2 linked regions of the Cricetulus griseus genome follow. The protein of the gene in region 2 interacts with the protein of the main gene of each other region in a pairwise test. Links are inferred from orthologs where the notes say so. Each region holds a gene or a part of one and is shown on either strand. Other genes may lie near its edges.

Evidence for each region.
Region 1: the proteins of myotonin-protein kinase (region 2) and Hspb2 interact in a two-hybrid assay, tested with the Homo sapiens proteins (2 studies listed by BioGRID). The link is inferred for Cricetulus griseus from reciprocal best matches to the Homo sapiens genes DMPK and HSPB2.

Annotation. Positions count from the first base shown.
Region 1 is NC_048597.1:162,524,374-162,527,472, forward strand, and holds Hspb2 (heat shock protein beta-2), read right to left. Parts: upstream 1,639-3,099; coding exon 1,545-1,638; intron 1,134-1,544; coding exon 679-1,133; 3' UTR 531-678; downstream 1-530. Other genes in the region: Cryab (alpha-crystallin B chain), read left to right, coding at 2,702-2,902. UniProt on the Homo sapiens protein: May regulate the kinase DMPK.
Region 2 is NC_048602.1:28,280,854-28,285,088, reverse strand, and holds the start of myotonin-protein kinase, read left to right. Parts: upstream 1-1,362; 5' UTR 1,363-2,484; coding exon 2,485-2,644; intron 2,645-4,235. Other genes in the region: dystrophia myotonica WD repeat-containing protein, read left to right, coding at 510-584, 829-876. UniProt on the Homo sapiens protein: Non-receptor serine/threonine protein kinase which is necessary for the maintenance of skeletal muscle structure and function.

The DNA.
Region 1 (3,099 bases), on a different chromosome or scaffold from region 2:
ATAATGGTGGATTGACGAGTCTGTCTGCCCATGTATGCACACTCCTTCCCTCAACCAGAGATCTTTCAGTGCAAGCCTTTGATATGGGAAAGCAAAACATTCACTCCAGAGCTTTAGGCAACTCTCTCCAGCCAAAACCCATTATCCTAACCCCTACCTAAAAAGGCCAGACAGCCTGGAGACCCTTGTTTTTGTGTCTCTAATCACCAGCTCAGACAGTGCCCTCTGGGCTGTTTGGATGGCACATCCCTATCCCTCCCAGGATCACTCTCTCTTTTGTTGCATTGTGAGAAAATTATGGCTAGGAATTTGATCTGGAGCCAGTGTCAGCTTCCGGGGGTGATCTCAGCATCCAAGTGTGAGCTTAGGATGCTGAGACGATGGGCACATTTCACAGTGGAAATTGCTCCCTGTGACCTTCCAATCCGTTCGCGGTTCGGTCTTCCAGGCCACAGAACAGGAGCAGCACAAACAAGGCCCCGAGGATTGGGTTTATTCAGCTCCACCCAGAACTAAATCAAAGGCTAGGATACATCAAGGGACCAAACCATACACTGTGGACCAGGCATCTATCCTTTCCCCCCCTGAGGACGCTGCTACCTCTGGGGTGGTGGACTTCTGGAATCACCGTGGGATGTAGACAGGGGATTCACTGGGTGCTGGGTCTACCGCGGGCAGTCAGGACTCAACTCTGGCTACCTCTTCCTCTTCCTCTGGGTCAGGAGGCGCAGGGAGCAGGGAGATGTAGACCTCATTGACTTCCGTGTCCAAATGCCGGCCACCCCGAGGCGCCTCTAAGTTAAGGATACCATCATGGGAGAGGGCAGCTCGGACCCGCCAGGGGTCTACATCTGCTGGCAGGACATAGGTGCGACAGAACTCTCGGGACACGAAGCCATGGCGGTCCAGACGCTGGGGGTGCCGGGCCGACACCTCCAGCAGGTTGTCCACAGTTCTCACGGTCACCTCGTCTGGGGTAAAGTGGCTCACATCCAGAAATGCCTGGAACTTGCCTTCGCTGAGCCTGAGCTCTGAAGCCCCTGCCCTACTGCCCTCCCCAGCTCTGGAGGCCCGAGGCCGGACATAGTAGCCATGGTAGAGGGTGGGGGTCAGGATCTCTTCTGGCAGGAGGCCTGGGTGGGCAGAGAGAAAGAGAAGGCAAGAGGCAGGATGAAGGATGAATGCAGTGTGCACAGGGCTGAAAGGCAACATCAGGAGACATGGGCCTGGGAAGAGCAGGTGGGGAAGCTGCTGAAGGGGAGCTGGGAAAGGAAATGAAATGGCAATGGAGGAAGCAAGCAGGGATTGGGAAGACAGAAGCGGAACTAGAAGGTATTCAGCAGGCAAGGACTGGAGCCCTGCGGGTCTAAAGTCCTGTCCTAAAGTCTGTAGCAAGAACAGAGCCTTGCTTGAGGCGGGAGTCAGGGGTGGGAGATGGCTCACCCCAGGAGTTCACTTAAGCCCCAGGTAGGGAGGAGGCCAGTGAAACTGGGCCAGGAGCCCAGAATTTCAGGAGGTGGGGGTGGGCAGCATCTAGGCCATACCTTCTCCGAAGCGCTGCTCACCCAGGCGGCTGGGGTTGGCAAATTCATACTCTGCCGTGGCTGGGTGGGCATGTGGCACTGTGCGGCCCGACATGACTCTGGTTGCGACTGGCAGCCCTGATCCCAAGCGCAGCCCCAACAAGATCGACGCGACCCCTTCAGCTGGAGGGAGAGCCAGGACTCAGTCAGAGTGGGGGCGGGGTCTACACCACCCAAAATAGTGCAAAGCCTCTGGGGGAGGGCCTGGAGCCTGGGCCCAAGAGTGTGGCGATGAGGGTGTGACCAGCACAGCCTGGACCCCCCAAGTCCCCTCCTCTGCACACTCTTCAGCTGTCGCAGAAGCCTGGATGGACAGCTGAGGGTCCTGGTACTGGAGCGAGTTGAGAAAAGGAATTGGTGCACTGTTGGAGAACAAAGGAAGGTCTTCTCAAATTGTACATTTCCGTATCACTGTCCGTTTGTCTTCTCAAATTGTACAGTTTTACATCACCGTTTGTCCTTCTCAACCGTAGGCACCATGCACACTACTTTAAAAAAAATTAAATGTTTCATGAGCTATATAGCATCAAAGATGCAAGAAGCATTTTCTATCTCTAATTTCAGGGTATTCTGAACCCAGGTCAACACAGGGTTCTAGCCAGATATCTGGTACTGACATATTGGTGGTCAAGGGCTGCTCTCCTCAAGGGCACCACAAAGAGTTAATGTCCCTGGGGCCCAGCCTAGGAAGATTCCAGTCCCTGCCCAGGCTCAAGATAGTTGCTGGCTCAACTCCCCTGGCATGCAAGACTGGAGAGGAGGAGGGGCATGCCACCAGCTGCTTGGGATTCTTGACTCTGTCCTAGCTCCAGAGAACAAGGATGGGGGGTGGGTGCCACTGGGTGTGGACAGAGAGCTAGTGAAACAAGACCATGACAAGTCACTGGCCAGCTCAGCCCTGTTTGTGTTTCTCTTTTCTTAGCTCAGTGAGTACTGGGTATGTGTCACCCTGCCAAATCCCTGATCACAAGTCTCCATGAACTGGCGGTGAGCTGGGATAATAAAACCCCTGACATCACCATTCCAGAAGCTTCACAAGACTGCATATATAAGGGGCTGGCTGTAGCTGCAGCTGAAGGAGTTGACCAGCCAACTGTCCCTAGATTCATCGAGCCACCATGGACATCGCCATCCACCACCCCTGGATCCGTCGTCCCTTCTTCCCTTTCCACTCCCCCAGCCGTCTCTTTGACCAGTTCTTCGGAGAGCACCTGTTGGAGTCTGACCTCTTCTCAACTGCCACTTCTCTGAGCCCCTTCTACCTTCGGCCACCCTCCTTCCTTCGGGCACCCAGCTGGATTGACACTGGACTCTCAGAGGTGAGTCTCCCCTATGTCCTTCCTGAACTTCCCGGACACGTCTTCATTTGTTTTCCTTTTTGCCCCTGCCTAAGTCATGTCAGACATGTGAGTGTGCAAAGGTACAGAGAAATGGGGTTGCTGTTTCCTTCTCCTTGGGTATCTGCTTTCTTCTCCTTGGACATCCTCTGTTTCCTATCACACCTTTTTTTTTCCCC
Region 2 (4,235 bases):
GGCCCACAGCCAACCATCCAAAGGGCCTCTGGTGACCTGTGTGGCCCACCCTGAGCACTTCACACTCAAGGCAGACCTGTTTTCATGGGAAATACGCATTTTAATTGGTGAGCTTTGTTTTGGGGCTGACAGTCCAGGGATAAGATTGAGCCGAGGGCCTGGCTTCTGGCTGCCTCTTAGACACTCCATTTCTGAGCCAGCTGCTAAAGGCCCGGATGGGAATCGCCAGGGCCCAGGCCCAGGCCCACATTTCTGCTTGGTGTGTGGTCCTGGTCACTGTGCTTTGCAGATGGGCTGTGTGGTGGCTGTGGTCTTAGTCAGTGAGCTGAAGGCCTGGCACTGGTCAGGACAGGGCTGGGCTGTCTTTTTCTTTAGCATGTGGGCTCTGCGTCCGGGATCCTTGCTGTGGAAGGTTTGAGTCCAGAAAGAAGCCTTAGAGCTCAGAGCAAAGGCAGGGTGGTAGGGCTTGGGATGTGTGAGCTCTAAAAGATGCCCCTCTGTCTCCCTAGTTTACAGACGAGGAGAACGAGGCCCAGACAGGGGAAGCAAGTTGGCCCAGGTCACCCAGCAAGTCAGTGGTAGAGGTAGGACCAACCTCCAAGCTGCAAGTGGACCCCAGATTCTCTTTCCTCTCAACCATCCCCATCTGCCTGCCCGGGATCACCTGGGGCCATTCATTACTGTCAAAGTGCCATCCTGGGGCAGGGACCTCGCCGGGACGACAGCTGTGGGACTGGGGGTCCAGAAGCCTTCGGGTGCCCCTCCCCACCCCAGCACTGGCAGAAGCCCAGGTGTTGTCTAATCCGACCTCCCTCTCATCCTCCTCAGGGTATCTCCTCCCAACCAGGCAACTCCCCCAGTGGCACTGTGGTGTGAAGCTCGGATGTCCCATGTCCCAGCCTCCTAGCCATAACCCCCCTGCAGACCTCAAGGACCACTGTAGTAACAAGACTAATCGTGATGAAGGGCTCTGCAAGCCCCCACCCTGCACAGACTGGCCCAGCCATGGGGATGGAGCGGCCTGTGTGGCCTCAGCCCTGGCCCCACCCACTGCCAAGTACAATGACCTGTCCTCTGAAATACCAGTGTTAACCCACATCCCTGTCCCAGCATGTGACTGGTCACTCCTGGGAGACTCCGCCCACAGCAGCCCAGCTCCACTGTGCCCCTGGGTGAGAGGGCTGCAGGGGGTGTCCCCTCCAAGCCCACACCCCACCCCTTGCTATGATTTGTGCTTTTGAAGAGTGTTAAATTATGGAGGCCCACGGGGCCCTCCTTGTTCCCCCTGGACCTTTTATTTATACTAAAGTCCTTGTTTGCACAGCGTCTCTGTTCCCTGGGGCATGTGTATGTGTGTGTGTGTGGGGGGGGGGGGGGGGGCTGTGTTCTCACCAAAGGAAGGCCAATCCCCGCACCCACCCTTAGCCCTGAGCAGAGCCCCCTGGACCCCCAGAGTCAAGAGCCTGAGGTGGCCCCTTCTTGCTACCTTGGGATGGGGGTGGGGGGTGTTTGAAACTTATTTTGAAGTGTCAGTTCTATCCAAGTGTGCTCTTCTGGGAGGAGTGGACACTGCCTGGAATTGAGCCGCACCTCCTCTTCTTGACACGCTTTGCACCCTGGTGCCCCTGGCCCATGCAGTGCCAGCTGGAGGCCGTGATTTCCTCCCCAGAGAACTGGCCACCCTAGAAAGACGCTAACATGTCTCCTGGCTGGCTGTCCAGGTGGCTCCGCCCCCAACCCCCAAAATGTTTCTGTCTCTAATCCTAGCCCAGGCAGGAATGTGGCTGCTCCGGCCTGTGGCCAAGAAGCTATTTCGGGGTCTCTCTCACTTGGGGAGGGCCTGGCTCCACCGCTTGCCTCCCCCAGGCTTGGGCCAGCAGGTCACCCCTGGCCCTGGCGGCTGGATAAGTTCCCTCCTGATCTCCCTTCCACCTCCTGCCAAAAAAGGGGGGGCGTGTAATACAGCAGGCACAGGGACTAAATTTAACTGTCCCAAAGTCGGAATCCATTGCTGAGTCACGAAGACGCTGCCCCTGGCCTCTGCCCCCCCCCCCAGCCCAGGCATCGGCCCCTTTCCCCACCCCTCCCAGCTCTGAGCTTAGACTGGCTTGTCTGAACACTGACCTCACCTGTAACTCCCTGTGCCCCACCCTCTTATGGGTAGGGGCTTCGGGTGTCTCTGGAGTACTACTCTGCCCCTTGACATTGGGCATTGAAGAGTTTTGGGGGGCCCTGAAAGAAGAGAGTTGGGGTGTTGGCTCAGGAGGGGTTAAAGCTGGGAGGCGGGAGGGGGGCTGGGCCAAGGGGTGGGGAAAAGAGGAGGAGGCCTCAGCCATAGAACTGGCCAGAGGGACCCAAGGGATAGTCAGGGACAGGCAGACATGCAGCCAGGGTTCTGGGGCCTGGACAGGGGCATTCAGGCCCCGTGACAGGAAGACCCCCGAGCTCCGGCCCGGGGAGGGGCCATGGTGCTGCCTGCCCAACATGTCAGCCGAGGTGCGGCTGAGGCAGCTCCAGCAGCTGGTGCTGGACCCCGGCTTCCTGGGGCTGGAGCCCCTGCTCGACCTTCTCCTGGGCGTCCACCAGGAGCTGGGTGCCTCCCACCTAGCCCAAGACAAGTATGTAGCCGACTTCTTGCAGTGGGGTGAGTATGGCCAGGAGGCCTGGGGTGGGGGGAAGGCCGAGGTGGCTCTACAGGGCAGGGATTGGCTGTGGAGGAGCAGGAGGGCCTGGAGAGGTCTGTGGGGACCCCAGCAGAGTTGAGGCCTTGATCCCAAGCTCCCCTGGTGGGGCAGACTGGGGTCAGTGGAGGCCAGCCATGACTCAGCCAGTGCAGGCTGGGGTGGGCACAGCCTGCTGCCTTCTCAGCACCCACACGGGCCTGGCAGCTTTCCCCTTCTAGGACCCTCACCCTCCAAAAGGAGCTTTGCAGCCCTCCCTGGTTTCTCTGAGTGGGGAGGGCAGCGTGGGGCAGCTGCCAGGGTGCGGCCCGTGGGCAGGTGTTTGGCGTCTGCCTCCCCAGCTGCCCTGACAGGTGTCCAGGAGCTGTGAGGGCATCGTGACTCACAGAGGCCGGCAGACAGGCGCCACCCAGCACCCCTCTGTCCCCCCAAATTAAGGAGGAACAAGCTTCTGAGCATGCCCTTCCGTAGCATCTTGGTCCCTCCTAGACCGTGTGGCCCAGCTTTGGGGATCCCATTTGGCTTCCTACCTGCTTTCATGGTCCTAGCTCAAGGCCTCTAGCTCCCCTGCTGACTTCAATGCCCTTCTCCAAAGGTCTTCTGAGGCCTAGTGGGTGGGCCTGGACCTTACCTGCCCCGGGCCCACATGCAGCCAAAGCTTGGGCTAACCCCAGCTTCCTCAAAAATAACAACTGTGTTGTTGCTCTGTGCCTGTCATTGAGGGTCCCCCATTCTTGGTCCTTGGTCCTCGGCCTGTATGTCCTGCTCACTGTCCCCTCTTCCCCCATTTCACAGATGGAAAGGTGGAGGCCATGGGCTAGGCCACTAAGGCTTTGGGGGGACCTTTCTCCTCTGCAGCCCTCAGTGACTCTTCCAACCTTCCTTTTGCAGAGGATGGGGCTGGGCGGGCAGGGTAAACTGAGAGCTGGGGTGGGGGTGGGGGGTCTGGCCCTCTAGGAAGGAGCAGTCCTTTTGTGGCCTGAGCAGCATCCCGTGGGCCCCTCCCCTGCCAGGCCCGGGCGGGGGAGGGGGCCTGGGTTCCCGCTGCCTTAAAAGGGCTCAATGCTTTGGCTCTCTCCTCCCCCCACCCCAGCCTTGGCCCTGGCTGTGTCTTCTCTGGCGGCCCTTTCCTCGAGCCCCTGTCTTCTCCAGGACCTCCATATTATTCCATATTATTCCCAGTCCTGACTGCTAACCCAAGGGAGGCCTGGCCTCCCTCTGCCCCCTGCCTCCGAGGCGCCAGCCCTGACCTGGCTGCCCTCGCCTGCTGGCTCAGGAAGGCTCTCCCGCCCCCTTTGGAGGCCGAGCAGGCCTCCAGTGTCCAGGATGCTGGTGGGCTGTGCCACCCCCGCCCCTCCAGGTCCCACACTCAGTGCTAACCACGTGCAGTCCTCTCGCCGCCTGTGCTGGACACCGCTGGCTTTTGATGCTAAGGCTCAAGACATTAAACGAGTCTCTGAGGGGACCTGACCGAGCACCCAAATCTTACGCTCGGGCTTCTCCCTCGTTTCCCTCCCTCTGCTGCCCCCCTTTCGGCCATGCAGCCCCGTGCAG